Macaca fascicularis: one gene and its partners. The protein of the gene in region 1 interacts with the protein of each later gene in a pairwise test. Links are inferred from orthologs where the notes say so. Each region holds a gene or a part of one and is shown on either strand. Other genes may lie near its edges. The genes, in order: UTP14C, PDE4DIPP2, TEX11 and PRICKLE1.

Region 1 (7,909 bases):
ATCTATTAGATCTAAATCATGTCTTAATACAAATTAAATCATATTTACGAATAATAATTACACAAAACCTATGTAACACATACTTTATAGTACACAAGTGTAAATAAGAATACAAACCTCCACTGCTGTGGGTTCAAAACATAGCAGGCTTGGACCACTCAAAAATGATGTCTGAGAGGAACAGTCATTCTGAAAGTTCTGCAGACAGACGCTAGCAGACAAGCCATTTTGACACTTTTCATGCTATCATTCAGAAAAAAATAGAAGACATATACCACATTACGAACACTGATAATCATCATATGTAAATTATATCTTCCAATGACATATCTGTGATGTATGAAAATAATTTTAAAGAAATAAGCTTATAGTTTATGGAATCCCAGAAAACTTTTTCTTCCTTCACTACCTCCTCAGGAATAAGGCAGTTAAGTGGGTAACAGTTTGAATCTTACTTCAAAGTGTAGCTACAAAGTAAGAAAAAGCACTGGGCCAGGAGTCAGAATATCCAGGTTATAATCTTGATTCTTTCATGGAACAGCTTTGTGGCACTGAAGGAGTCTACTAAATTCTTTAGATTTAAATTGTTCTGGTCTGTAAAGCTGAAAATAAGAGAGAACTGGGCTAATCCGTAGGGTTCCTTTCACTCCAATTTCTACCCGTCTTTTTCTAAATGGAATCATCTCTAACACAAAGTTACAATGGTGTGTCAGAACATCCTGTGACTGGTCCTCTGTTTGCTTTTTGATCTGATGACAGATGGCCTGGAGACGTATGAATAACATAACTGGGAGTAGATAAGCTGGCCACATTGATAAGTGACTGAGAGAAGAGTGCAAAGGAATAATGTACCCTTTCATTTGCCCCTTAACACAAAGATGAATCAGGCTATGGATGGGGTCAATTCACTGAACTAGAAAGGATTATATAAGCAGAAAATGCAAAAGCTATAGGTTTTTACAGCCGTATCTGCTCACACATATATTCAATTTTCCATGCTAGTTATTCAGGATAGAAGGTGCATTAAATTTATACCAATTCCTAGCTACTGGCCGAGTAACTAAGAATCTACATAGAGTTGTAATGCATTAATAAAGATTGGATTATAGAAGACATTTAGTATGTAATGCTCCCTTTAAGTAACTGTCATAATTTTTTTTTTTTTTTTTTTTTTGAGACAGAGTTTTGCTTATTGCCCAGGCTAGAGTGCAGTGGCACAATCTTGGCTTACTGCAACCTCTGCCTCCTGGTTTCAAGTGATTCTCTTGCCTCAGCCTCTCAAGTAGCTGGGATTACAGGCACCCGCCACCAGATCCAGCTATTTTTTTTGTATTTTTAGTACATACAGGGTTTCACCATGTTGTTCAGGCTGGTCTCTAACTGCTGACCTCATGATCTACCTGCCTTGGCCTCCCAAGGTGTTGGGATTACAGGCGTGAGCCACTGCTCCCGGCCCTTAACTGTCATAATTTTCAAAGTACTTTCATCCACTTTCCATCTCATTATTCCAACTCCAAAAGGTAGTAAGGACTGGAATTAACAACTCCAGATTACAGATGAAGAATCTGAGACTCAGAAAGATAAAGGAGCAGTTTTAGTGTCAAAAGGTCAGAAGTTTGTAAATGATGAAGCTGAAGGTAGGCCCAGATATGCTAACTGCTTGCCCAGTGCTCTTTTCAAAATGCCACCTTGCCATCTGACAATGCATTATGCTGGTAATAGATAATAAATACCCTGTGGATGTATCTGTATACCACATCATCACTGTCAGAAAAACAACTTGAGGTTCTCTTGAATGACTTAAACCTGACTTCCAGGCTGAGATGCGGTACTGTCAAGCGATAATGAGACCCACACAAATGTGCTGATAGCACTAAACAAAAACAATTTTCACCAGTACCTAGTATGGAAAGGACTGTTGGCAGCACCTTGGCCTCTACTGCCCTACACACACCTATAAAGCATCAGTCAGTCCCACCTCTTGACTGTATGCTTTGAGAACATGATTACACAAGTCTGTTTAAAATTTCTTTTTAAAGGAAATCATTAGGTATATTCAAAAGGGTCATCCACTGTATTGTTTAGAATGTAAATGTACCAGCATTTTTCTGTGTTCTAATGTCTGATCAATTCTAAAATGCTAGTCAATTAATGGTCATCCATTTTCTTTTTTTAAAAATGTGGCTCAACTACATGCAATGTGCTGAGCCAGTTCTGGAATCCACCCTGTAGCAGAGTAAAACTGGACCAAAGGAAGTGGAATCAGAACTCCTAGCTGTCACTTTTCCAGCTACTCAACCTACAGAGTTTTTCTTCAACTCTTTACTGTGACGTGTGGTGATTTGTTTTGGATTCCACTGTATGACAGACAGGTCTGACCTTGAGGAAGACCGGTAGCCCACATCCTCTGCTTTTATGGGCTTAATGATATGACCTGGCTTGGTGATGACCTTGGGAGTAGTCAGCTTTTGGAAAGCCCTCTGGGTGTTCCATGTGGATCCTACAGGGGTCTGGATGGTCCTTTCAAATTGCCGATGGTGGGTAAATGGATATGGAAGCACTTGTACCTGATGAGCTGCTGCGTGGATGTTGCGCTTCTCACTGATAATCACATTTGGCAAATTCTTATCTTTTCTTGGAGGACCCTCAGGGGCTTTGAGAAACTGGCGTCTTTTCTTGGTACTAGGCTTTAGGCCCACACCACCCCACTCGCCCCAGCCAGGTAGTGTCAGGTCCACGTCCTTTGGCGTACTCGCCTCCACAGCTTCTCTCTTCTCTTTCAAGAAATTTCTGATGACATCATCCCCAGCAAAAGCTTCCTTTATCATCTGCCTTTGGTCTCTCTCCTCTTCATCTTCCAGCTCCTCTATTGTTGTGGGAACTGCCAAAGACCTCACGGAAGGAGACTGTGTAGTTAGGAGGTTCTGTACGTCGATCAGTTGCTCCTTCTCTTTCTTCTCCTTAGGGGCATCAGGCCGATTATTTGGGGTCCTCTCTGACTGCTGCCCTTCTAACACAGGTCTGGGAAGCTCCTTATTTTGAAAACAATCTTCTTTTCCCAGCTCTTCTAGCTCTTCCACAGTTTGTACTCTCTCTGGCCTCTGTAGCAACAGGGGCGCCTCTTCTTCTGGGGCAGGTTCCTCTCTCTGGACCTGGGGAACAGTCCCCTCTGAACTTGCTTTTTGCTTCCTGGACTGATGGTTTTCCTTCAATTTCTGAGATAGTGCCCTCAATTCAGACAGCACCTCCTGGCTGCTAGAATCTTTTGTTTCTTGAATGCCTGCTGGCTCAGCATCCTGGTTGAGCTCAGATCTTTTTCTAAGGGATCGCCTCTCCTCAAAGTCTCTCAACAAAATTTCTTCCTCTGCCACTGGTCTTTCTCCCTCACTTTCAGAAACCTCATGGGTGGCAGGCTCTGGCAGTTGCTCAGGGTCCTCCTGGGTTGCAGCCTCTCTGGTGTCACTGGTGCAGCTTCTGAGCATCCAGGGATTTGGTCCGTCCACATTCATCTGGACTTCATTCACTACATGGGGGACAAGGAGTTCTTCCACTTCTTCTGTGCCTCCCTCCTCTTCCTCAATCTCAGAGGCTACCTGGAGTTTCTGTGTCAGTTCTTTGTTCTTGGCCAACTGTTCCTGCATAGCTTGGCGAGCCTCCAGGTCATATTTTGCCATAATTGCCTTTGACTTGGCCCATTTCCCACTGTTTTGGTGCTTAAGGCTCATTCTTTCCATCATTCTGGCATTTTCAAATTTTTCCAGTTCTTCCAATGCCACAGTTGGATTAACCTTCTGCAGCTGCTCCAACTCTTTTGAGGCTTTCCTGGCCTTTCCTTTCTTCACGACTTTGTGATACTTTTTACTTTTGATTTTCTTCTCTCTTCGAGCCTTGGCCTCATAGTAGGACTGCAGAGCCCGAGCCCTTTGAAGCTCTGCTCGGTGCATCTTTGCCTCTTCCAGACTCATGGCTTGGAGAGAGGCCTTTTCCATGGGAGTCAGTAAAGGGTCTGTTACTGGCTGCTTGTTCTTATGGAGGAGGTTAAAAATTTCCTGCTCCAGGGGAGTTCCTGCCTTCCAGCCACTGAGTGCATGTTCAATGGGAGCAATGGCTGGCTGCTCCTTCCCCAGGGGAAAAGCCAGCTGCTCTGCCTGCTGGTTCTTCAGGACGATAGGGTCCCATTTAGAGAGGACTTGTGAGGTTTTACCGAATGCTGCTTCTCTGTGGATCTGTTCAATCTTTTCTTTGTTAAGAGGTAACTCCACCACCTTCTTTGATTTGACTCTATTCAGTTGCTTTTTCACAGTGGCCAAAGAAGAAGTAGTTTTAACAGGCTCAAGGAGATCTGCAAGGACCAGCTTTTCTCCTGATCCTTCAGAACTGACATTGAACTCTGACACTTTCAGACTAGCCTCAGACCTCTCAGCCAATTTCCGCCTATTCTTTCCATCAAGGGAACTGATTGCTTCCAGAAGCTTTTGATGCTTTCTCTCTCCATCACTGTCCCCCTCATCTTCATTCTCACTCAAGGGGCAGTTTTTTGGCAAATCCATTAATTCTTCCTGTTGGCTCAAAGCCAGAAGGCTCTCCACAACCCGGTTCACATTCATCTCAGCAGCCAGCTTCTCTCATGTGTACCAAGAATGGAAGCTGAAGGCTAGTCATCCATTTTCTTTTCAACACTTCCTTTTATTCTAAAAGGAAATTTTCTTGTCTGTTTTCTAAAGTAAAATGATTTGACAAATGAGATTGAATTTAGAAAAATATTTACATATGAAGGTGTTTAACCAGTTTATATAAAATATCTTTAATTTTCCAGATATGGCATTACTTAAATAACTTTTCCACAGATGATAGGAATGTCACTTCAAATTCCTGATCAGAGAATCTGCTTACAGATGCACGAGCACTTTTTCTGATTTGGAGTCTCTTTTCTGCAGACATGGAAAGAATGTGAGCGATAGTTTCAGCATAGTCTTCTTCACTCTCAGCCAGAAAGCCAGTTATATCTCCTTCGTGAGGAACGACAATGTCAAGCTTTGGGCCCCCTGAATTGTGTGCAAGGATAATTGTGCCAGCTGCCATACACTCCACAACTCCTGAGAAAAAAACAAAAATCATGTAGTATTTTAAGTTTTTGAGTGTGTTCATAAGAATGAGGATGAACAGAAATCTTCAAAAATTTTAAGGGACTTATGAGAAACTTAATTAAATGTCTATATGTCTAGACATTTGCTTATTTAACTTCTATAGTACAAAATAAAATAATTTTAAGTTTTTTAGTTTTCATAGCTTCATAATAATACAATTTTTTTTTTTTTTGGAGAGAGAGGGTCTCACTATGTTGCCCAGGCTGGCCTCTAACTCCTAGCCTCAAGTGGTCCTCCCATCTTGGCCTCCCAAAGTGCTGGGATTTACCAGCGTGAGCTACCACACCCAGCCTGCTGCTTTATTCTTAGTTAAAATAGACAAGTAGATGGAAGACTAACCTATTAAAAAAGATATATTGCAGATAATTAAAAAAGACTAGAGAATGTTAGCAAGATGGTAGAATATTAACAGGTATTAGAAAAACAAAAGGAGTAAAAAGATATCAAAAACAATTTTAATAGTTCAAATTACATTAGCAGAAAAAATAAAAAATGCGAATCACCTAAGTGAAGCATACTATTGCAGTGCTTATGTTACTGCCTGGATTTCTGGCATATTTGAGACTACTGCGTGCCCAACAACAGTGCTGAACTAAATGAAAGTTGTGGTTAGTTTCTGCCAAATGATACACATGAAATATAAATTAATGTAGCCAGCCTTTCTTAGCTGTATTCCTAGGAGAATTAAGCCCTTCAGAGAATGATTTAAGTGACTGCTTTCCCAATTATCTGAAGGATGGTACAGAGCTGGTATCATCCTGGATGTATAGGAGAGAAATTAAATAATTCCAAATGTTTCTAAACCAGTGGTGAAATCCCTGCAGAATAGAATTCAGTAGCTCATATCGTATTCTGCTTGAGGTTGGAGAGCATCCTGTACTTTCTCAGAGACCTTCATCTAATCAGTTTTACCCTTTCCCTCTCTACTGGCTCCTTCCTATCAGCATTGAAGCTAGGGTGCCACATGCCTCTCCTCAGGTCCTGCAATACCCACCCCTAGCCATTGTCTCTTCTTCCCGCTCCGTACTTCACAAACTTACTGAAAGTGTGGTTTGCACTTACCAACTCTACTTGTTCACTTCTGAGTGCTCAACTTTTGATTTTTGCTCATAGTCTGACTTTTGCTTCTACTTCTCCCTTAAGATTGCTCTTGCCCAGGTCACCAGTGACTGCCTTACCTTCCCCAGCATCAGGGCAGCATCGGAATCTGTGCCCTCTTCATTCTTCTCCAAACACTCTCTTCCTTGGTTTCTAAGACACTGCACTTGGCTGGCTCTCCCCCTTCTTCTCCCCATTTCTCAGCTGTTTCTGTTCTCTGCATTTTGTACTGAGAGCCTCTTCTCACTCTGTACATATTCCCCAGGCGATCTTATCCACATCCATGGGAGCTTTGATAACTACCTGCACAAGGACAATCCGCATTTTGTATTTCCAGACCAGATTCCTCTCCTCAACTTCAGACTCCTATATACAAAACTACCTCCTGGACGCATGCCCTCACATGTCCCACAGATTAACTCAGACTCTGCAGGTTCAAAACTTGGCTCATCAATGGTATCTGCTCTTGGATTTCCCCTCTGGGAGAAAGCCAACACCATTCTCAGAGTTGCCCAGCTCCCAAAACCCTAGGTGGTCTTCTCTTCCTCCCTCATTTAACACATCCAGTTAATCACCAAGTCCTGGTCAATACACTGCAGAATGTCTCTCAAGCATGTTCACCTACCAAGTTCAGCTCACTAGTACCTCCACCTGGGCTGCTACAGTAGGCCGGCTCGCATCTTACTGCCTTTCCAATCTTGCTCTCCCGGCTCTTCACTGATCCACTCCCCATGTGGCCAGAATGGACTGCAGAAATCAGAAAGCTTTTGCATACAATACTTAAAATCCTGCTGTTCTTTTCCACTGGCTTAACCTGGCCCATATCACCTCTCTGTTGTCTTCCTGCTTAATGTTCCTATTGATGCATCTGTTGTCACTCCTGTCATAGTGCTGTTCCCTCTGCTGGAGACTCTCCCGTCTCTCCTGGCTAACCTCTAATTATTGTTCGGGTTCTGCTCAAGTGTCACATCACTTCCTTGGGCAACCGTTCTCTGCCCGCACAAGTCTGTGTTAGGTTTCTCTTTGGCACTTTCACATCACCCTGCACTTCCTTAGCATAGCACCTGGCACACAGCACTTGCCTGTGTAGCCTGTTGGTTCCACCAGAGGGCAGGAAGCCTCTGACAGGCCAAGCAGCTCCCGTCTCCACCACATCTCTAGCATCCACCCAAGTGCTCAGCAGACTGAATGTTTAGTAAGTTTCTATGCAAGGAAGCAGAGTAGGTCAGATCCCAGGCAAAAGGTTGGGTCAACCTGGGTCTAGTACTATACTACTAACTAGGAGTGAAAAAAGTATAAGAGAAATTGTAGTCTTAGTTTAGAAAGTGTCACTTTTATGTTATCCTCATTTCCTCTAACAACTAACAGTGTGAGGCACAAAGCGCTTGAGAAATATACGTGGACCCAAATTAAACACAAAGTAGTACTTGGTTTTACAGCAAAATGTATGCTTAACAGGTCAGAATGGAGATAGTAGTTTGTGCCAGAATAAACAAGAGAGGCTAAAAGGCAAGGAGATTTAAGTTGAAGACTTATGATGCGATCTGGCACAAAGAGGAGGGCCAGTCCATGGTGAGGGTAGAATCAATAAAAGACTAAAAGAGTTACTGTGAGAAGTCCCTATGCAAACAGCGGTTCTCAACTTTTGATGCATAACAGAATCA
Region 2 (8,006 bases), on another chromosome or scaffold:
GGACCAAGAAGTGCAAAATTTATTATCACATAATTTTCCTAAGTTTTATTTTTAAATTTTTATTTTCTATATACCAGTGATCTTTTCGTTGGGAACACCTTATTTCATAATACCAAATGCTCATATAGGGACTAATTCTAGTACAACAGCTTATATCGACTTTGAGATACATTTTTGAACTATTTTCTCTGCAAGTGAACAGACTGCCATCTTCACATTTTCTGATTGCTGAGTGGTTTATTCCCATCTGTTTTTGGAAGTCTAGATATGTATAGTTTTCTCAGTATATTGATCTTTACTTATAGCAAACATATTCTTCAATGGCAATTTGCCTTTTCACCATTTGTATTGACCTGTATGACTACACCAAGCTATCTATATACTGTCATTAAAATTTGGAGACTATCAGTTAGATGCAAAATCCTTTTGAAGAACAGAGAATAACCCAAAGTATAATTCAGGGTTTGCTCTTGAAGAGCACTTTGTTTCATTCACATTTTCCTAATAGGAAAATGTGGCTTGCATTGACAGTAAAAAACAAGATCTGGATTACACTTAAGACTGGGTACGGCAAGGTAGTGTCCTGGCAGGCAGTCTGTCTTTCCATCAGTCAGGGTAAGTCCAGAAACTCTTTGCCTTTCTATAGATCACCATAGATTCCAAAGCACGTTGCTTAATTTCTTCCAACTTTGAAGCTCACATACCTAGAGGCAGGCAAAATGCAGCTGTAGTTTTACTGGAAACCCTTTTATATTCTTGGTTTTTGAGTCAGAATACACTCAGTAGATGAAATTACATATGCAAAATTCTACAGCCTATGATATTAGGCCATTCTTGCATTGCTATAAATACTTGAGACCAGGTAATGTATCAAGAAAAGAGGTTTAATTGGCTCACAGTTCTGCCGGCTTTATAGGAAGCATGGTGCTGGTATCTGCTTGGCTTCTGGGGAGGCTTGAGGAAGGTTACAATCATGGTGGAAGGTGAACCTGCAGCAAACAAGTCACGTGGCCAGAGCAGGAGCAAGATGGGGTGGTGGAGGCACCACACACTTTTAAATGACCAGATCTCAGAAAAACTCACTCACTATTGCAAGGGTAGCACAAACCCATAAGGGATCTGCCCCCCTGACCCAAACACCTCCCACCAGGCCCCACCTCCAACACTGGGGATTACAATTCAACATGAGATTTGGTGGGGCCATATATTCAAATCATATCGCCTACTAAGCCCAAAGCTCTAAGTACTGTCTTTCTCTCTTACAATAGAGCTACAAGATTTTGCTTTGGTGATTAAGAGAACAATACAATCTTATGTAGGCAGAGCCCCATAATGTTTTAAAGTGACTTAAAATATTCCAATTCATATTAAAATAATAATAGCCATTATTTAATGAGCTAAACATGGTTAAAGCATTTCCTCAAAATTATCTCATTTGGTCTTCAATATGAAGTTTGGGGGGCTTATTATGAACTCTCATAGATGGCATTTGGATGTCTTCAGGTTTAGGAGGATGGGCTCTGTCCTGGGGACGAGGTTCAGAAAAACTTAGACGTTGCTGGCCTTAGCTTACAAGGTCAAGTTAGTAAAAAAAAAAAAAAAAAAAAAAAAAAATTTAACATGATTAGAACTGAGAAATGGCCTGCTCTAGGGGACTGCAAGTGATTGCTGCGGTTGTTCCTCTTGTTCCGTGTCTGAATGCCTCTCAAGTCAGGAAGAGAATTCTTTATTAAAAATGGCCGGAGGGCGCGGTGGCTTAAGCCTGTAATCCCAGCACTTTGGGAGGCCCAGGCGGGCGGATCAGGAGCTCAGAAGATCAAGACCATCCTAGCTAACACGGTGAAACCCCGTCTCTACTAAAAAAATATGAAAAATTAGCCGGGCGTGGTGGCGGGCGCCTGTAGTCCCAGCTGCTCGGGAGGCTGAGGCAGGAGAATGGCGTGAGCCCGGGAGGCGAAGGTTGCAGTGAGCCGAGATCGCGCCACTGCACTCAAAAAAAAAAATGGCCGGAGGTACCTGCATCCCACCTAGTCAGGGCTCTAGCTTCCCTCCTCTTTGTGTGCAATCCAAGTTTTAGACCCAAGGGTGGAGGACCTACCACTGTACAGTGCTGAGTAAGACAGGGTTCTCACCGAAGTCAGCGAAGTTCCCAGTCCTTTCTGGCGCGAGCTGCATTCCCAGACACTCCAGCTCTTGCCGAAAGGAGCTCCGTCTTTTGCGCTAGTGTTTGTCTACCCTCCCCTGCCCTAAAATAATGAATGCCCTCTACCTGAGGGAGAGACTTCAGTGGCGGTAATCTACTCGCGGCTGGCTGCATCCTTGAAAAAGCACATTTCCCTTCTACTATCTTCAAGATCTTGGTTAACCAGATTCACATTGTATTTGCAGGACGCTTTCTCAGGTGACTGCTCAGTGCTCTTTTTTACCGAAAGTAGGGCAAAGTCCCCCAAGGGTGCTAACCCTCCCCCACCCACATCAAGGAAGAAACAGTCCTCTACTCTTTTCTGGACATTCCGGTTCAGAGTCGAGGTAAGGGTTGCATGGCCCCGCCCCACCCGCCCCTCCGTTACCAAGCCTTCCCCCGCCCGCCTCGCAGTCTCAGGGCCTTAGAACCCAGGCGGGGCGAGGCCGGGAGAGGTGGGGCTGCTGGCTGGAGGCGGCGGCGGCGCGCAGCGGTACCTAGCGGCGCTGCCCGGCTGGCAGCCGGAGGACGTGGCACTGTCCGAGGATCCAGGGGGAGGGGATTCGGCCTTCTCCTCCCCGCGAGGAGGAGCCTCGGGACATCCTGCAGAGGCGGGAGGATCCTTGAGGGCACTGGTGCGCCTTTCAGGTGAGCTCTTAGCAGATAAAAGCGGCTGGCTGTGGTCCGCGCCAGTAGTGCTTTCTGCTCTGCACTCCCAGTGAGCCAGGTGCGCAACCGGAGTGGGGGCGAGGGGCGTGCTGGCCACCCCGCATGCGCAGAGCCGGGAGCCCGCTGACCGGACTACAGCTCCCAGAGGAGCCTTGTGGAAGCCGCAGACGTGGAGCCGCTGGCGCCATCTTGAAATCTGATCCTCAATCCCCGAGCCTTTGAGTCTGCGCGGCGGGCCGCTGCTGCTCCGGGAGCCCAGTCTGTTAAAAGGGTAGGACGTTGAGGACGCGGCGGCTGGCGGGAGAGACAGCTGGGGAGAGACATGGCAGGGTCGGAGCGCGGCCTGCGCCTCTGTCACTCAGCATCCTCTTAGACGTTTCCACGCCCGCCCCCTGCCCAAGGGGCGGGGCTGACGGCTGTGGTACCCGGAGCCGGCGCACGGGGTAGGGGTGCACCCCTGCAGAGTGAGGACCCCACTGGGCTGTGCCATGCTGACTGGAGACCACTGAGGCGGGAGACAGAGCGCGGCGAAGAGCCATTGAGTGGTCATCCAGTAGCCGCCGCCGCCGCCGCCTCAGGAAGCTTGGCACCCGCTAGGAGGGAAGATGAAGGAGATTTGCAGGATCTGTGCCCGAGAGCTGTGTGGAAACCAGCGGCGCTGGATCTTCCACACAGCGTCCAAGCTGAACCTCCAGGTTCTGCTTTCGCACGTCCTGGGCAAGGATGTCCCCCGCGATGGCAAAGCCGAGTTCGCTTGCAGCAAGTGTGCTTTCATGCTTGATCGAATCTATCGATTCGACACGGTTATTGCCCGGATCGAAGCTCTTTCTATTGAGCGCTTGCAAAAGCTGCTACTGGAGAAAGATCGCCTCAAGTTCTGCATTGCCAGTATGTATCGGAAGAATAACGATGACTCTGGCCCGGAGGTCAAGGCGGGGAATGGGACGGTTGACATGTCTGTCTTACCTGATGCGAGATACTCTGCACTGCTCCAGGAGGACTTCGCCTATTCAGGGTTTGAGTGCTGGGTGGAGAATGAGGATCAGATCCAGGAGCCACACAGTTGCCATGGTTCGGAAGGCCCTGGAAACCGACCCAGGAGATGCCGTGGTTGTGCAGCTTTGCGGGTTGCTGATTCTGACTATGAAGCCATTTGTAAGGTACCTCGAAAGGTGGCCAGAAGTATCTCCTGTGGCCCTTCTAGCAGGTGGTCGACCAGCATTTGCACTGAAGAACCAGCGTTGTCTGAGGTTGGGCCACCCGACTTAGCAAGCACAAAGGTACCCCCAGATGGAGAAAGCATGGAGGAAGAGACGCCGGGTTCCTCTGTGGAATCTTTGGATGCAAGCGTCCACGCTAGCCCTCCACAACAGAAAGATGAGGAGACTGAGAGAAGTGCAAAGGAACTTGGAAAGTGTGACTGTTGTTCAGATGATCAGGCTCCGCCGCATGGGTGTAATCACAAGCTGGAGTTAGCTCTTAGCATGATTAAAGGTCTTGATTATAAGCCCATCCAGAGCCCCCGAGGGAGCAGGCTTCCGATTCCAGTGAAATCCAGCCCACCTGGAGCCAAGCCTGGCCATAGCATGACAGATGGAGTTAGTTCCGGGTTCCTTAACAGGTCTTTGAAACCCCTTTACAAGACACCTGTGAGTTACCCCTTGGAGCTTTCAGACCTGCAGGAGCTGTGGGATGATCTCTGTGAAGATTATTTGCCGCTCCGGGTCCAGGTATACAAAACGGCTACACAGTGCCTTTCTGATTATAGCTAGCTGGCCTCTGGCTTCACATGATTTCGGTCTAGGTGGAGGTTAGTAATATTCTAGACTTGAGAAAATTAGTCATGAGCCCATTTTTGCTGCACCTTTTCTGTGTCTCATTTAGTAAACGTGATTCGTACTCAGATAATTTGCTTTTCACAGTCTTTGTAAAATCTGTTGGCCTTCCCATTATCAAAATTGTATACCTTTTAAAACAAAAAGGTAAAGATTCCCACTTCACTTTTATCCTGTAAAAAGAAGACATTTAATCTCATTTCTGGCACTAGAACTTTTCCTCTTATCTCCTTTTCTTTCTTTTTTTTTTTTTTTTTTTTTTAACAACTTTTAAAATTTGTTCTTGTTTTCAGATTTATAGACGTTTCCTCCCAATGGCTTTCTGTAAGGCAGTTAGTTCTCTAGTTAGTTCTTCCCAGAGCATTGAAGCTTTCATCCGCAAAATGCCTGTAAATGATTAGAGCATAAGGTAAAAGGTTTGGGGGAAACCTATTAATCCACCAGTAAAGTATTATAACATCTGGACAATATTTATTATAATGAATAGTTCATTTGAGGATTAGTGATGACTCATTCATAAAAGAGACAGGAATTCAAGTATTCAAGTACAGTATTGTCACTCAAAACGTTAAGGCATAAACTGTTCACAGCCAGAACTCTGCTGAGTTCTACTGGAAGATATTTGATATTAAGAAAGGATTAACCCATTATTGGATCAGAGGAGAGTTTCATTCATTATAGTCTTGAATTCTTAATGACTAGAGGATGGCAGTTGCTTAATTTGAACCATTCATGTCTGCCCAATTGATTCTATACCAACCTTTTAAATTCAGCTATGGTAGTTTGTTTCTATAGCAACAGTAAATGCTAGGTTCAGTTAACTTTGTGAAACATACTGGCATGTTCCACTTGATACAACTTATTTAGCGATACTGTCACAAAGGTAGATGTGATCTAGAAGGCATTTTTAGAAAGCCTGCTACTGGTCAACATCATTCCAGAAATTTAGAGCTTGATAAGTAACATTGTTGATGGTCACATGAAACTTTTGGAAAGTAGTTCTGTGGTATGTATACTTTCTTTCACCATAAGAACCTAAGCAGAAAACAGGAGAAAAGTTTTTAAATTTACACAAAATTATGAGTAGCAGCATAGATGAGAAACAGCAGAGATGAAAGTGTCATGAAAGGTAAAAAGTCAGTGCGTTTTCATTTGTATAAAATGTATGTACTTCTTTTCTTTTGCTTTTCCTTTCAGTGGAGCCTCAGCTGAATTTGGGCTTTACAGTATTTCTGGACCAGACATAGGTGTTACAAATTAAACATGGTGTTTTCTTATTAGGGTCTAAAATTAGTTGGGCCAGGATGAATGGGAAATAAACTCGTCTCCCCAACCCGCCACCAAGTATGGCCAATATTGTAGAACATTACATAAAGACTGAGAAAATAACAGCCAAAACAAGGTCTTTTTTCTCCATATTTAAATAAAATACTCTATTTTGGTGACCGGATTTTGGAGTTGAGAAGAATTTTAAAGATCATCTTCAGGCAGTCCCTCAATTTGGAGATATGGAAAGAAAGTTCATTCTTTAACTAACTTAGCCCATGCAGAGACAAAGGTTTCTGACCATTCTCAGGCAAGACACTAATTCTATACATTAAACCCCATTGTCTGAAGTATATAAATTTAAGTAAGTACTTTTTTAAAACCAGGAGCCCTCTTTCTCTAACCTAAGGATGCTTGGGGGATTTTTTAGAGATTACGTGAAAAAAATTGTCATCTGAATGAACATATATAAACTATGGTAACTGTATCTTTAGGTCAAGTCCCTTTACTTCACTAAATTTGGACATTAGAGCTTTAAAATAGTAGCATATGACCTTTCTGCTGTGACCTAACTTACATTCTTACATTGTTTACTGTTTCTAGAAAAACAAAAATTGGGAGGGAGAAAATGTCATTCAGTTTCAAGAAATGTGGCATTTAATTATTATACCATTTTCTCTAATAATTTGAGATGTCAGGGAAAATAGATGAATTGGGCCCAACCTGTTTGTAAATAAAATGGGCAGCATATCTATTGTTTAAATCCGGTTACTTTTAAGCTCCTTAAGAGCCTTATGACAAAACCAGTGCTAGATAGGACAATGGCAGACTGGTTTTTGTCTATTTCTCTGAACAAATGTGGAAAGAATAGAAACAATGTAATTTTTTTTTTTGGTAGTTCTCCTTTTAGCTTGTGAAAACACGAAACCATGAAAGAAAAAAATGTTTCCTTTAGTTCAGTTCTGCCACAAATATGGAGAAAACCTTTTATCTTAAACAGCAAGATTTTCTGTAAGGTCATTTGGATTCCTTTGTTTAATCTTCCACTTACCATACTGTATGCACTATTAAATATTGACATCAGAATTCCTCCTGATTGCTTTTCATCTTTCTTTTTTTCTTTCCTTCTTTCCCTCTTTTTCTTTGTTCCTTTCTTATTTATTAAAGAAAACTAACAGTGTAGTTCTGCTTACTGATATTCTGATATTACACAAAGTAATTTATTTCCCTTCTACAGAATTTATGTATGACAACCTAAAGCTATTCAGATAGCTAAAGAAAGGTTTGAAGCCTTATTCTAGCTGGTAATTCCCTTCTTTATTGTCTGGCCCTGAACTAGAAAAGCTATGATGGGAGGGGTGTGGTCCCTTAGTAAACAGCAATGAGCTCTGGCCCATGTGCAATTTCCCTTTCTATCTAAAGTCAAAGAACAGGAGATCTTTGCTTTAAACCTTGCAATGCCAAGGTCTGCTCCTTTGTGACTATGGTAAATTTATCGCACTCATATTTTAGTTATAGGAAGTGGATCAGGCCCTTTGGAAGATGTTGGCATTAGATGCTGGTAAAAGATTAGGCCTTTAATTTGATGGTAGTCGATGATTCTTGTCTGTCTCCTAGTATTAACAATAGGATTGACAATTATAGCAGTTTGAGATCTATAACTCACTACTGTGAGGACTAGAAAGTGCCAAGAAAAAATGCTATCAACACAAAAGGTCTAAACACTGCCCTTAGCCTAAAAGTCTCATATTATGCAACACTAGACCTGGAAGCAGTTCTCTTTTCTGATACTGGAAAGCCTTTGTCCTAATTCTGAGTGAAAAGTGACTTAATTTAAAATATATTAACATTTCCACATGATTTTAGTACCTGAGTGTCTAGAGAGTAACACTGATTCTACCAAATCAGGTATTACTTATTTCATGGGCTACACTATCATTGTAGGAGTGACTGTTTTATGTACTTGATACTTCACAAGAATTCATTAAGTTGTTGGCTTAGTGGTACTTGCTAAGTGCTCTTTCGGCAACTGTTATCTGCAAGGACATTTTTCT
Region 3 (7,882 bases), on another chromosome or scaffold:
TGAAAATATGTTTTGAAAGGACCAGAATTATTTAGACAAAAATGAATTAATAAAACATTAACCACTTAAGAGAACATTCACAAATCAAAATATATGTCTTCATAGTCTCATAAACTAACCAGAAACTATTATTGGTATTCTACAATAATATCTTAGGATTTTTTTTTCTTTTTTTTTGAGAGACAAGGTCTTGCTCTGTCACCCAGTTGGAGTGCCGTGGCTTGATCATAGCTTAACTGCAGCTTCCACCTCCTGGGCTGGAGTGATCCTCTCACCTCAGCCATCGAGTAACTGGAACTACAGGTGTGAGCCACCATACCCAGCTAATTTTTAAGTTTTTTGTGGAGATGAAGTCTCACTATGTTCCCCAGGCTGGTCTCAAACTCCTGAGCTCAAGCAATCTACCTGCCTCAGCCTCCCAAACTGTTAGGATTACAGGCATGAGCCACCACGGCTGGCCAGGCTGTTTTTTTTTTAAAAAGGAACTCAAATTAAAAACGTATATTGGTGGCATGTGCTTGTAATCCCAGCTACTCAGGAGGCTGAGGCAGGAGAATTGCTTGAACCTGGGAGGCGGAGATTGCAGTGAGCCAAGATCGGCCACTGCACTCCAGCCTAGGTGACAGAGTGAGACTCTGACTTCAAAACAAAACAAACAAATGAAAGTTTATATTGGGGTTTTGTTTTCTTCTCAAAAATATTTTTTAAAATCTGTTTTTAAACAATATTTGTATTTTTAAAAACATCAATTTTAAAATCTCCCTGATTCTGCTATCAATATTTTGAGCAAGGTCTACATAAATATATGTCCCTCAGCCCAATACTTACCTAATCTTAGAGGAGTCAAGATATTAATAGCAGTCTTTCCATTAAACAACTTATGGGAGAAAGAAAGATAGAGGATTTTTTTCTTTTTTCTTTTCTTTTTTTGTTTTTTGTTTTTTTGTTTTTTTAGTTGGAGTCTTGTTCCGTTGCCCAGGCTGGAGTGCAGTGGTCAATCTCAGCTCACTGCAACCTCTGCCTCCTGGGTTCAAGCGATTCTCCTGTCTCACCTTCTAGAGTAGCTGGGACTGCAGGCACGCGCCACCATGCCTGGCTAATTTTTGTATTTTTTCTTTTCATATATATTTTTTCACCTAAAGTATTTAAAATATGTGGTATTTTAACATAATTGAACATAATTTGCTTTGTGAAGTCTTTATTTGAATCTATAGTCTTATGTTTAGCTAGAATTTTGATTTTTAATTTTTATTTTTATGAGTACATAGTAGGTGTATATATTTATGGGATACATGAGATATTTTGATACAGACATACAATGTGTAATAATCACATCAGGGTAAATAGGATATCCATCACCTCAAGCATTTGTTTAATTGAAATTTTTGTAGCTGATTTATTTTTTATTGTAGCAAGGTAAAAGTTCTGTTTATTTTAGCAGCTTAAAATCTTTTAGAAGGTGCTTTTATGGTACTGTTATGAATATTAATAACATTTTTGCTAATCTGAGGCTCAGGAATGTTGCAATAAATTAGAACTATGTAGCTTATGGACACTTATGTCACATGAGTTTGAAAAAATTTTTTTGATAATATGAAAGGCATCAATTGAGATTCTACATCATGCTTATTGTTTAGTTTTAGGGTTTTTTTTTTTTTTTTTTTTTTTTTTTTTGAGACACAGTCTTGCTCTGTTGTCCAGGCTGGAATTCAGTGGCACGATCTGAGCTAACTACAACCTCAACCTCCAGGCTCAAACAATTCTTATGCCTCAGCCACCCCAGTAGCTGGGATTACAGGCGAGCACATCACACCCAGCTAATTTTTGTATTTTTAATAGAGATGGGGTTTTGCCATGTTGACTAGGCTGGTCTCGAATTCCTGGTCTGAAGTGATCCGCCTGCCTCAGCCTCCCAACGTGCTGGGATTACAAGCATGAGCCACTGCGCCTGACCTAGTTTTAGTGTTTTTTTTTGTTTGTTTTTGTTTTTTGTTTTTTTTAAATGGTGTCTTGCTATGTTGCCCAGCCTGTTTCAAACTCCTGGGCTCAAGGGATCCTCCTGCCACAGCCACCTGAGTAGTTGGTACTACAGGCGTGGAACATTGTGCACAGCTAATGCTTGGGTTTTAAGGAATTCCATGGCCTAGTAAGATTCAGCTATGTGGAGTCTGGAGCTGAGACCATTTAGAAAATGGTGACATCATTTGTGCAGATTCAATAGCTGGTTAATGTTGTTGCTAATTGAGCATGTCATTTTTTTTTTTTCTCACAAAGTAAGGTCAAGACTTCAGAGCCAGCAGTTTGCTATGTCTGTCTAATGCTTGAAAATATTAATAAGTTTTTCAGTTTTACAGGGCACATATCCAGATCTTTCAGATTTTCTACATTTTCTAGTTTTGAAGACACTGTTAAGTTCAGTTTTGTAGGGTTTTTTTTGTTTGTTTTAGAGAAAGGGTCTCACTCTGTAGCCCTTGCTGGATGGAGTACAGTGGCAGGATCATAGCTCACCGTATTCTTGAACTCCTGGACTCAAGTGATCCTCCCAACTCAGCCTTTGGACTAGCTAGGACTAAAGATGTGTGCCACCATGCTTGGCCTGTTTTGTACTTTTAATATTACCTAATAACTTTACTATTAGTGAAGTCAATGCATTTTCCTTTCTGAGAATGAATAATGATTAAGTTATAAACAAGTGACTCCCAAAGAATGCAAATTTTATTTGAAAATTATACTCTTGCTTAAATAAACTTTAAATCTCCAGTTTGGTTTTACTCTAAGGATCAAGTTCCTTCATGCTATATTCATTTGGCCAATGATTTAGGAATAGGTTTAAAAATGATTTGCTACTTTTAGCCAATGGTAATAGTTCACAGCACATTTATCATCCATTGTTATTTCAGAAGTTGTTGAAAACCTGGTTGCAAGTGATAATTCACCTAACATACCAGAGGCAATTGATAGACTCTTCAGAGACATAGCAAATATCAACAGGGAGTCTATGGCTGAAATAACAGACGCTCAGGTTAGTATAAAAATAATTCTGTTTATGACAAGTTTTGATAATTCTTCATTTTAACCAATGTATTATATAGATAAAAAAGTAGTCTTAACCCTTGCTAAACATATAAAAATCTATTTTTGGATGTTCACACCTAATTTAGGGGAAAAAAATTTTAGAAACCAATGGAAAAATATGTGCTCAAGTTTAAACATTTATTATTTATTAGTAATGTTATATATTATTAATATTTATTAACCTCTCCAGGCTTCAGTTTTCTCATCTGTTAAATGATAATAGTAATACCCACCTCTAAGTGTTGTTGTGAATAGTAAACAAAATAACATACATAAGGTCCTGGGCACACACGAGTTCTCTTTTCCTTCCCTTTGCAGCAAAGTAGTGGAGCCACCCAGTAGTGGAGAACTCAGTTGACTATAAGCCTTCAGAAGTGCTTTTTTGGGGGGTAATTTTCTAATGTTTAAATGAAGGTCTGTTACTTACTTAATATGGAAATTGTCTTGAGGCTTGAAACACTTTTGAGAACATTTACCTTGGGCAAATACTTGCATTTTGGTGATTACTTATATGGAAAGGTGAGAAGAAAGTTTATTGTAAATCTCTCTTCCTCTTTATATATATATGTATCTATATATGTATGTATGTGTTTATGTATATATAAATACCTTTATTTAGATATAATTTACATACCATGCAATTCACCCATTTCAAGTATGCAATTCAATAGTTTTTAGTATTTCCCAGAGTTGTTGTGCACCTATCACCACGGTTAGTTAATTTTAGAATATTTTCACCACCTCAAAAAGAAACCACGCCCATTCACAAACACTCTCCATTTCCTCCCATCCCCTTCCCTCCCTCACCCTCAGCCCTAGGTAACCGCTAATCTACTTTTGGTCTCTATGGTTTTGCCTAATGAGGACATTTTATGTAAATAAAATCATACAATGTGTGGTTTACTGACTGCTTTCACTTAGCCCCATGTTTTCAAAGTTCATCCATGTTGTTGCATGTATTTGTACTTCATACATTTTTATGACTGAATAATATCCCATTGTATGGCTATACCATATTTTGTTTGTGCATTCATCTATTGATGAACGTTTTCATTGCTTCCACCTTTTGGCTATTATGAATAATCCTGCTATAAATACTCATGTACAGATTTTTATGTTTTTATTTTTCTTAGGTTTGTACCTAAGAATGAAATTGCTGGGCCATGTGATAACTCTAAACTTTTGATGAACTACCAGATTGTTTTCCAAAATGGCTGTACCATTTTACATTCCCACTAGCAGTATAAGAGGGATCCAGTTGGTGGTGACTCATGCCTGTAATCCCAGCACTTTGGGAGGCCAAGGCAGGCGGATCACGAGGCCAGGAGATCAAGACCATCCTGGCTAACACCGTGAAACCCCGTCTCTACTAAAAATACAAAAATTAGCTGGGTGTGGTGGCGGGTGCCTGTAGTTCCAGCTACTCGGGAGGTTGAGGCAGGAGAATGGTGTGAACCCGGGAGGTGGAGCTTGCAGTGAGCCGAGATCACACCACAGAACTCCAGCCTGGGCGAGAGAGCGAGACTCCGTCTCAAAAAAAAAAAAAAAAAAAAAGAGGGATAGAGGGATCCAGTTTTTCCACCTCCTTGCTGACATTTTTCATTATTTGTCTTTTTGGTTATAGTCATTTTAGTGGGTTTGAAGTGTTATCTTATCTCGTTGTGTTTTTTATTGTGGTAAAACACACATAACATACAATTTACTGTCTTAATCATTTTTAGGTGTATAGTTCCCTTGTGTTAAGTATGTTCACATTGTGCAGCCATTCTCCAGAACCCTTTTCATCTTGCAAAACTGAAACTCTGTACTCATTAAGCAACTCCCCCTTGCCCTCTAAAATTCTTTTTTTTTTTTTTTTTTTTTGAGACGGAGTCTTGCTCTGTCACCCAGGCTGGAGTGCAGTGGCCGGATCTCAGCTCACTGCAAGCTCCTCCTCTCGGGTTCACGCCATTCTCCTGCCTCAGCCTCCCAAGTAGCTGGGACTACAGGCACCCGCCACTTCGCCCGGCTAGTTTTTTGTATTTTTTAGTAGAGACGGGGTTTCACCGTGTTAGCCAGGATGGTCTCGATCTCCTGACCTCATGATCCGCCCGTCTCGGCCTCCCAAAGTGCTGGGATTACAGGCTTGAGCCACCGTGCCCGGCCTAAAATTCTTATGAATTTTGAGATCAGCTTGTCAACCACCATTCTACTTTCTGTCTCTATAAATTTGACTACTCTCAGTACCTCATGTAAGTGGAATCATATAATAATTGTCTTTTTGTGACTGGTTTATTTCTCTTAGTATAATGTCTTCCAGGTTCATCCGTGTTGCAGCATGTGTCAGAATTTTCTTCCTTTTTAAGACTGAATAATCCATTGTATGTGTATACCACATTTTGTTTATCCATTCATTTGTTGATGGACACTTGGGTTGCATCTACCTTTTGCCTATTGTGAATAATGTTGCTATGAGCATTGGTATGGAAATTTCTGATCAAGTCCCTGCATTCAATTCTTTTGGATATACACCCAGAATTGGAATTGCTGTATCATACGACAATTCTGTTTTTAATTTTTCGAGCAACCGCCATACTGTTTTCCATAGCAACTATAGCATTTTACATTTCTATTAATAGTGAACAAGGGTACCAGTTTCTTCACATTATCACCAATACTTCTTGTTCTGTTTTTTTATTGATAGTAGTCATCCTAGTACTGTGAGGTGGTATCTCAGTTTTTTATTTTATTTATTTATTTATTTTTTAGACTATCACATTCTGTTGCCCAGGCTGGAGTGCAGTGTCAGGGTTTCAGCTCACTGCAACCTCTGCCTCCTGGTTTGAAGCAGTACTTGTGCCTCAGCCGCCCAAGTAGCTGGGATTACAGGCAGGCGCCACCACACCTGGCTAATTTTTGTGTTTTTAGAAGAGATGTGGTTTTGCCATGTTGGCCAGGCTAGTCTCGAACTCCTGGCCTCAAGAGATCCACCCACCTCGGCCTCCCAAATTGCTGGGATTACAGGTGTGAGCCACTGTGCCCGGCTGTAAATCTCTTTTTAGATCATAACCTCTTACGGTACTTAGCTGTTAGTGAAAACAAATTATAAGATTCCAAGAGTTTGGGTTTGTTTGTTTGTTTGTATTTTGAAACAGTGTCTTGGTCTGGAGTGCAGTTGCATGATCTCGGCTCACTGCAGCCTCGACCTCCTGGGCTCAAGTGATCCCCCTCAGCCTTCCAAGTAGCTGGGACTGCAGGCGTGTGCCACCATGCCTAGCTAATTTTTTGTATTTTTCATAGAGATAGGGTTTCTCCATGTTGCACAGGCTAGTCTCGAACTCCTGAGCTCAAGCAGTCTGCCCTCTTCGGCCTCCCACTGTTAGAATTATAGGCATGAGCCATAAGAGTTTGGTCTTATTTTTCAAGAAGATCTGCTTGGTTTTGGAAATGCCTTGAATTTATTTTCTTTCTGGAAAGTCTAATCTTCATATTATTTACTTCTGTCTGCAGCATGTATTTACCATGCTTATCATTATACATTTATGTAAACCTACGACAAAACCTGCCACATCTTAGGTGCTTAATACACATGTGTTGAATAAATATGTTTTGTGATTATGAAGTATTTACAATCATAGTTTATCTTATCCTTTCTAACACAATATGAGAAAATACAAAAAATTGTTTAAAATCATAAAGTAACATAACTTTACAGAAAGTTTTAAAAAATGGATACAAAATCACATGCAAACACACACTTGAATATAACAACTATTATTTTAATGTATTTTCTTTAATAGTTTTACTGTTTAAATGTTACTTAGCTATAATTATACGGTACATGTAATATTTCTGACATCATAAAAGGCAATTTGCTCTGTGTTCCCAACATTTTATTTTATTTTATTTTATTTATTTAGTATTTTTTAAAACCAGAACATTTATTGCATAACTAATCGTTGACATTCTTAAGATGAACTAGATGCTGCAACAGCTGCCCTCTTGTGTTTAGGTGTTGTTCCTTCACAGAATCCATGCCTGAATCTGCGGTATACAATTTTTAGGTGCCTCATTCGACCAGTTCTGGTGGTATTTCGTCTTTTAGCCTTGGCACTCCAGTTATACTTTCTCTTGCACTTGGCAGGGTAGCCACATTTGCCACAAGTCGACTTCTGAAGGTGGTAGGCCTTAGAGCCACAGCGGCGGCACAATGTGTGCATCTTATTGCGACGCTTTCCAAACGATGACGTTCCCTTCGTCATCTCGCTTCTGCAGCCGAGACCAGAGAGCTCAACATTTTAAAATAAACATTTTCAAACAGAAAAGTTGAAAGAATATTACACTGGACACCTGCGTAACAGCCACTTACTTTTTACAGTTGTAAACATTTTACCATATTTGCTTTATCACATATACATTTGTCCATCAACCCATCTTATTTTTTGGGTGTATTTTAAAGTGAGTTGCTGACAACAGTACATTCCCCCCCCCCAAATGTTTTAGTGTGCATATCATTGACCAGAATACAATATTTTATTGAAGTTCTTCTTTTTTTTTTGAGACGGAGTCTCGCTCTGTTGCTCAGGCTGGAGTGCAAGTGGCATGATCTCAACTCACTGCAACCTCTGCCTCTCAGGTTTAAGAGATTCTCCTGCCTCAGCCTCCCGAGTAGCTGAGACTACAGGTGCACACCACCACGCCCGGCTATTTCTTTTGTATTTTTAGTAAAGACAGGGTTTTACCACGTGGGCCAGGCTGGTGTCAAACTCTTGACCTCAAGTGATCCACCTGCCTTGGCCTCCCAAAGTGCTGGGATTACAGGCGTGAG
Region 4 (7,414 bases), on another chromosome or scaffold:
CGTCGTACCTCATGGTTCCAGAAGCCTCATAAGGATCCCATTTTTGCTCTAATGAATGAAATCCGGAGTACTACATATGCATTGGTTATATGTATTTCGGATGAATCCCTCTTGAGAGTGAGAGGAATTTACCTTTTGAAAAACTTCTGTGACAACAAAAAGGCAATAAAAGAGAAAAGTTTCCATGCCAGTTCTCAGCAATGCTTTTGCTTTGGAAGCGAGATGGCAAGCTATCAGAAACCCTCTGAAGTGTTACTGCTTAGACATTTGACCTTTGATAACTTTGCATATAAAAGAGCCTGTCACTTACACCAGAGATTGGGAAAAAAAAATTAGAGAGTTAATTTTATGCTTTGTTTGTGTTGTTATTTTAAGGAAGATGAGAACATTCTATATGCCTATTTAATTTTCCCAATATCTTTACAATGATTAACTTGTTGAAAATCACGTGATATTATTAAAAGAGCAAAGGCATCATTTGAAAATAAAGTTGACAGTGGGGTGTGTGGTTGCTTTGCTCTGAGTTAGGGTTCTGTTTCCTGTAGGGGGGGACATTTTTTGAGAATAGGGTATCCTTATTTATCCATGGCATAGCACAGTACCTGGCACGCATGTAGCTGATATTCAGTAAGTGTTTATAACTGTAAAAAGCTTCTAGAGCTGATAGAATGGGGAGAGGGTGGAGTACTGGTGAAGCAGTTAGAAAAGCAGTATTTGGACAAACTACTTAGAGAGAATCCCTTCTTACATCTAGGGTGGGTAGGTTTTGTGTGGTACTAAGGTATTGAAGTAGACAGGCCCTAAATTCCTGTCTCATGTCTTTTTTTTTTTTCATTTATTCCTTCTCAGCTCTGCAGTATCCTTTGCAGTACTCATTAAGGGATGTTCCTTTAAAGATATCAGAACACAAACAGGCAGAAATTAAGTTTTCCTTTCAGAATGAGCAAAGTACAGCTCAATATGGCTTCTCTCCAATTTCCCTAGGGAGACTGACTTCAGGTATTCAGAAAATAGCATACATGGAAGCAAAGAAAGCTGATGTTTGAGAGCACCTGATAAAGAAGAGTTTACAACATTTAGCTAAACAGCTTTTGTCTTTGTGATGTGTAAACTTCAGAGAGCAAATTCAGTGTGTTTGTGTACTGGGTGGATTTGGGGCCATGTCACATAGTCTGTGTGGTAATTTGCACAATTCACCCAGAACTCTCTCTCTTGCTGATCTCTTAGTTGACCCGTTGGAAGATTGGCTGAGGAAGAGTAGTCTTTTTTTTTTTTTTTTTTTTTTTGAGATGGAGTCTTCCTCTGTCCCCCAGGCTGGAGTGCAGTGGCGCGATCTCGGCTCACTGCCACCTCCGCCTCCTGGGTTCAAGCGATTCTCCCGCCTCAGCCTCCCGAGTAGCTAGGATTACAGGTGTGCACCACCACACCCAGCTAATTTTTGTAGTTTTAGTTAGAGACAGGGTTTCACCACGTTGGCCAGGCTGGTCTCAAACTCCTGACCTCAGGTGATCCACCTGCCTCGGCCTCCCGGAGTGCTGGGATGACAGGCGTGAGCCACAGCACCAGGAAAAGTAGTCTTAAATGTGCATATTTTATGGTGCATAATTTATGATGTCCCTAATTTTCACTACAAATTACATTCCTGAAGAGCAATTTAGCAGCTGGGTGCTAGTTATCTGAAGGTTTGCAGTTCTGCTGAGTTGGCTCAGCTGGTCTTCTCATTAGCTACAAGAGGCCAAACCCTGTACCTAGGGAAAGGTAACTTTTAAAGATTAAGTGAGCTGAAATGCTCAGTTCTGTATACTGATGCCATTCTCACTGTCTCTTATGCAGATCCAGCTCTATTTTGCTTGCTTACCAGAGGAAAAGGTTCCTTACGTTAACAGCCCTGGAGAGAAGCATCGGATTAAACAGCTTTTGTACCAGTTACCACCACATGATAATGAGGTAAAATAGCCGGAAGAAGGCTAATTAGAAAAAAGAAAAAAATGCATGAGAAGCATTGAGATGCTGCTCATAAACCCCATATCCTCACTGGTGAGTCAGGCTCTCTTTTGCCTTTCTTTAGTTAAAATTTGGCCAGAGAATACAGCTTTCCATTCTTTGAGAGAAGAGAGAAAAGAGTATCAGTGTAATCAACTTAACACAAGTTGGTTTTTATAGTGTTTGCAGCCACCCACCAATGATCAGGAACCTACAAATGCCGGAGATTTCCCTGCCCCTGCATCCAGAGTGAATGCTTTATGGTCATTCAGGCCTGCAGTTGAGTTGAGTGCATGTAGAATGGAGAGTAAAAGTGGCAGTTAACAAGTTTAAACCTTTTGTGGAAAGGTTAATGTCCTATTTTTTTTTTTTAATGTCTGTGCTGATAAGGGTTTTCAATTAAACATTTCTTATTTAAAAAAAAAAAAAAAAGACTATTCCTTCACGCTGCATTTCCCTTTTTCTAGAGAGGCTGTAAAATTTGGATATGGTGTCATTTTAAAATCGTGGAGGTGTGACACAGGCGAGCTAAACTTACTATTTTATTTCCTGAAACCCTAACTCTGGAAGTAGAGAACTGGTGAGAAAGACTGTGCACTCAGTGTGGTGTTTCTGTTTTGCTTTCTGTGAAGGTGCGGTATTGCCAGTCTTTGAGTGAAGAGGAGAAAAAAGAATTGCAGGTGTTCAGTGCTCAGCGGAAGAAAGAAGCACTGGGAAGAGGAACAATTAAGCTTCTGTCCAGAGCAGTCATGCATGCTGTGTGTGAGCAGGTGGGCAGCCCCTTCTCCGATGTGTAGCTTGTGGCAGTGATGCGGATGGGGTGGATAGTTAGGGGTTATCCACTAACTATCTAGCAGAGGTGTGGGCCCTGAAAGCCTCCAAAAAGTGAGAGGAAGACAGCCTGGCTTTTTATTAAATAGCAATTCATGTTTCATATTTGTAACTAGCTACACTGCTGTGTATGACAGCAGGAGTCAGTCACCCTTGTGCAAACATTGGGTGAAATCCTGCCTTTGGTAGGATCCTGGCATGGAGGTAGGTGCTAGGATACATCTCGTATTCAAAAGAGGCAGAAACATAATGAAGACATTCAGATCTTTGCTGGCAGTTCTCAGAGTAGGAAATGTATCCAGCAGGAGACTGGCACAGGAAAACCACTATTTGTGTGAATCACATTACACCGTCCTTAGAAACAGTCGTAGTATGTCTGAGACACATGCCTTACAGTGGAGAATCACCAGTAATCCAGCATTAAAGAGCTATTTAATCATTAACAGAGGTGGCAAAAATGAACACATTCCTGACAAATTCGAGATTTATCCTAAAGTAGGAAAGCCTGAGAATCCCGTCTTTAAAAAATGATCCTTTTACATTCAAACCCATTTGTTTGTAGTGTGGGTTGAAGATAAACGGAGGTGAAGTTGCAGTGTTCGCCTCCCGCGCGGGCCCTGGCGTGTGCTGGCACCCATCCTGTTTTGTCTGCTTCACGTGCAATGAGCTGCTGGTCGACCTCATCTATTTTTATCAGGATGGAAAAATTCACTGTGGCAGGCACCATGCAGAACTGCTCAAACCACGGTGCTCGGCATGTGACGAGGTAAAAAAAGTTCATCCTTTCACACTGGGAAAAATAAGCTTAGATTAAGCCAATATTCCACTGTTTACATCTAAGCAAAATATTAAAATTTCCTGGATTTTGTTCTGTGTGCATGTTTTAAAGATAATCCTGTACATTCATACAATGAAGTAATCTATATTTGGTTGGTGCAAAAGTAATTGCGGTTTTTTGCCATAATGGTCAAAACCGCAATTACTTTTGCACCTACCTAATAGAAAGGGAAGCAGATGTCTTTGTACTTTGATAAGCATTATATCTTCAGTGCGTTGTGAGAAAATACAAGTTGCAGAAGAACATGTAGTAGATGGTCTTTTTTTGTTAAGGATTTAAAAAACAGTATGATACATGTATTTGTTTATACTCAGAAAAGGTATGGAAAGACAAATACCAAATTAGTAGTAGTTACCTTGGGGGAAGGTGGGAATGGATGATGGCTTGAAAGGAAAAATTTTTTCCCTTTAGCTTTTTAAAATAATTTTAGATTTACAGAAGAATTGCAAAGCTATTACAGAGAGGTCCTGCATGCCCTTCTCCCAGCTTCCCCTGATGCTAACATCTTACATAACCATAATATATGTATCAAAACTAGGAAATTATCATCAGTATAATACCATTAACTAAACCATAGTCTTTGTTTAGATTTTCCTAGTTTTGTAACAAATGTTCCTTTTCTTATCCAAGATCAATCCAGGGTGCCTCATTGCATTTACTCGTTGTATCTTAGTCTCCTTCCATGTGTGACAATAAACTTTGTTTTTATTTGTATACATTCATTTATTTGATCCTTTTTTTCAACAGTGTTCTATTTGAACATATTTTGGTTTTGGTCTTGGTTTTGTTTTGTTTTTTAAATTTTTTTGAGATGGAGTTGCTCTCTGTTGCCCAGGCTGGAGTGCCGTGGTGCAGTCTCGGCTCATGGCAACCTCCACTTCCCGTGTTCAAGTGATTCTTGCACCTCAGCCTCCCGAGTAGCTGGGATTACAGGTGCCTGCTACCACGGCCAGCTAATTTTTTTTGTATTTTTAGCAGAGGCGGTCTTCACCATGTTGGCCAGGCTGGTCTCGAATTCCTGACCCGAAGAGATTCGACTGCCTCGGCCTCCCAAAATGCTGGGAATACCGGGGTGAGCCACCGTGCTCCACTGAACATATTTTGGACACCAAAAATAGAAGAACCTGCCGGGCTCGGTGGCTCATGCCTGTAATCCCAGCACTTTGGGAGGCCAAGGCGGGCGGATCATGAGATCAAGAGATAGAGACCATCCTGGCCAACATGGTGAAACCCATCTCTACTAAAAACGCAAAAATTAGCTGGGCATGGTGGCGGGTGCCTGTAGTCCCAGCTACTCAGGAAGCTGAGGCAGGAGAATTGCTTGAACCCAGGAGGCGGAGGTTGCAGTGAGCTGAGGTCATGCCACTGCACTCCAGTGTGGTGACAGAGCGAGACTCCATCTCAAAAAAATAAAAATAAATAAGTAAAAATAAAAGAATCAGCCTGGACCCCATGGTGAGACCCCATTTCTGTCCCAAAATGTTTTTCAAATTAGCTGGGCATGGTGGTTGTGCCCTCGTGGTCCCAGCTACTCAGGAGGCGGAGGTGGGAGAATCACTCAAGCCCAGGAGTCTGAGGCTGCAGTGAGCTATGATTGTGCCACTGTGCTCCAGCCTGGGCTACAAGTGAGACCCTGTCTCAAAAAAATAAAGAGTCCTTAATCTGGAGATGGCCACCAGGTCAAATAAAGCATTATCAACACAAATGCTGTTCACTCAATTCCAGCATCTGTGTAGCTATAACTGTGTTGAGTCCACAGACATTTTTATGACTTTTCTTTCTACTGAAACACCAAATTATTTCACTAAAGTATTTCCGTGTTAATGTGTTCTTTGCCAGATTATGCCAAGGAAATGTTATTGGGGAACAAAAATAAGACCCAGTGAATTACTTCTAATGTAGAATCTGTTTTGTCAGGTTGAAGCAAGTATTTATTATTTAGTTTCTTTTTTCAGTACTGTCAATTTATGCTCTAGTTTGTAGCTAAATCAAGTTAGATTTAAGCTTGTGACTCTAAGAAACAAGGTTAGCTATTTGATTTTTTTAAGAGCCAGTGTCTGTCCATTGCCCAAAAAACATGCAGTTACTTGGCCTTTAAAATAGTTCCTAATGATTTTCTTTCATTCTCTGGTTTCACGTTTCTTTTTGAAGATAATTTTTGCTGATGAGTGCACAGAAGCTGAGGGTCGCCATTGGCACATGAAGCACTTCTGCTGCCTTGAGTGTGAAACGGTCCTGGGAGGACAGAGGTATATCATGAAGGATGGCCGCCCCTTCTGCTGTGGCTGTTTTGAGTCTCTCTATGCGGAGTACTGTGAAACCTGTGGGGAACATATTGGTAAGTCCACAGCCAGCCCGTCTGCCCTGTCACCTAGCCATTAGTCTGTCTAGAATTATCCACAGTCTTATTTTTTCTTTTCTGTTTTTTAAAGTTGAGATATAATTTACATACAGTGAAATGTACAGATCTTAAATGTTCCAGCTGATGAAATTTGACAAATGAACAGAGAGTCGATTCTTGTTTTTCATAGTAGTCGTGTTCTGTGAAGTTACTGCGAACGCTGGATTAGTGAACACTGAACCGTTGCTCGTGGGGGAATACAGGGTTAGGTTCCTATGAGCCTCTGGGCACTGCCGTTTCATCAACCCATCAATGCATAATCTTGTTTCATGTGTGTTTTTGCTTAAAGCCACTGCTTTATTGAATGTACATTGTTGATGCATTAATATTGAATTCACAGCCAGTAGTACCATACTCAAGATTAGGAGCTTATGTAATACGTCTTTTCTCCATAAGGCACATCACAGCCTTCTTGCCCTTAGGAACATGACAGCATTTCAGCACTGTCAGCATTACACTTGGGGTCATTTTAAACAGCAAACTCACCAACAAAAAGCACAAAAACGCAGAAAACATGGCAGTAGATAGATCAGGAATGCGACACTTGTCTACAATATGAGAGCTGAAACAAAAGGCTGGAGCATCTCCTGGATCAGTGCGTGTTGGTTCAATTCATATTTTTACCACTTTGCACATCTGCGAATGACCATGAAAGGGTTGCCAATATTAGTTTGGGGGTTGTGAATAAATTTTTATGAGTAGGCAAATTCACAAATACAGAATCCACAAAGAATGGGGATTAATTGTATCTGTGTCACCCACACGGCTCCCCATACCCATAATCTTTATTTTCTTCATTTCTTCCTTATACCTTGTTTCAGGCATTAAATCATAACTTATTTATTCTGTCCTTTTCAAAACAGGTGTGGACCATGCGCAGATGACCTATGACGGGCAGCACTGGCACGCCACAGAAGCATGCTTTTCTTGTGCCCAGTGTAAAGCCTCTTTGTTGGGATGTCCCTTCCTTCCCAAACAGGGTCAGATTTACTGCTCAAAAACGTGCAGTCTCGGTGAAGACGTCCATGCCTCTGATTCTTCCGACTCTGCATTTCAGTCAGCTCGATCAAGAGACTCCCGAAGAAGTGTCCGAATGGGCAAGAGCAGCCGGTCAGCAGATCAGTGTAGACAGTCTCTCCTCTTATCGCCCGCTCTGAACTACAAGTTTCCTGGCCTCTCAGGCAATGCCGATGACACCCTCTCTCGAAAATTGGATGATCTGAGTCTCTCCAGGCAAGGAACGAGTTTTGCCAGTGAAGAATTTTGGAAAGGCAGAGTAGAGCAGGAAACTCCAGAAGACCCTGAAGAATGGGCTGATCATGAAGATTATATGACGCAGCTCCTCCTCAAGTTTGGTGATA

The links.
Region 2: the proteins of UTP14C (region 1) and PDE4DIPP2 interact in a two-hybrid assay, tested with the Homo sapiens proteins (2 studies listed by BioGRID and IntAct). The two-hybrid records come from large-scale screens. The link is inferred for Macaca fascicularis from reciprocal best matches to the Homo sapiens genes UTP14C and PDE4DIP.
Region 3: the proteins of UTP14C (region 1) and TEX11 interact in binary tests that used the Homo sapiens proteins (3 or more experiments, as listed by UniProt). The two-hybrid records come from large-scale screens. The link is inferred for Macaca fascicularis from reciprocal best matches to the Homo sapiens genes UTP14C and TEX11.
Region 4: the proteins of UTP14C (region 1) and PRICKLE1 interact in a two-hybrid assay, tested with the Homo sapiens proteins (2 studies listed by BioGRID and IntAct). The two-hybrid records come from large-scale screens. The link is inferred for Macaca fascicularis from reciprocal best matches to the Homo sapiens genes UTP14C and PRICKLE1.

Annotation. Positions count from the first base shown.
Region 1 is NC_088391.1:31,196,908-31,204,816, reverse strand, and holds the start of UTP14C (U3 small nucleolar RNA-associated protein 14 homolog C), read right to left. Parts: upstream 4,825-7,909; 5' UTR 4,608-4,824; coding exon 2,295-4,607; 3' UTR 1-2,294. Other genes in the region: ALG11 (GDP-Man:Man(3)GlcNAc(2)-PP-Dol alpha-1,2-mannosyltransferase), read right to left, coding at 4,825-5,096. UniProt on the Homo sapiens protein: Essential for spermatogenesis. May be required specifically for ribosome biogenesis and hence protein synthesis during male meiosis.
Region 2 is NC_088375.1:114,056,623-114,064,628, reverse strand, and holds the start of PDE4DIPP2 (myomegalin), read left to right. Parts: upstream 1-3,071; 5' UTR 3,072-3,456; coding exon 3,457-4,581; intron 4,582-8,006. UniProt on the Homo sapiens protein: Functions as an anchor sequestering components of the cAMP-dependent pathway to Golgi and/or centrosomes.
Region 3 is NC_088395.1:77,570,185-77,578,066, reverse strand, and holds the start of TEX11 (testis-expressed protein 11), read left to right. Parts: upstream 1-2,893; 5' UTR 2,894-2,998; coding exon 2,999-3,022; intron 3,023-6,974; exon of another isoform or gene 6,975-7,344; intron 7,345-7,882. UniProt on the Homo sapiens protein: Regulator of crossing-over during meiosis. Involved in initiation and/or maintenance of chromosome synapsis and formation of crossovers.
Region 4 is NC_088385.1:49,045,411-49,052,824, reverse strand, and holds part of PRICKLE1 (prickle-like protein 1), read left to right. Parts: intron 1-1,833; coding exon 1,834-1,947; intron 1,948-2,450; exon of another isoform or gene 2,451-2,506; intron 2,507-2,615; coding exon 2,616-2,753; intron 2,754-3,376; coding exon 3,377-3,580; intron 3,581-5,803; coding exon 5,804-5,990; intron 5,991-6,916; coding exon 6,917-7,414. UniProt on the Homo sapiens protein: Involved in the planar cell polarity pathway that controls convergent extension during gastrulation and neural tube closure.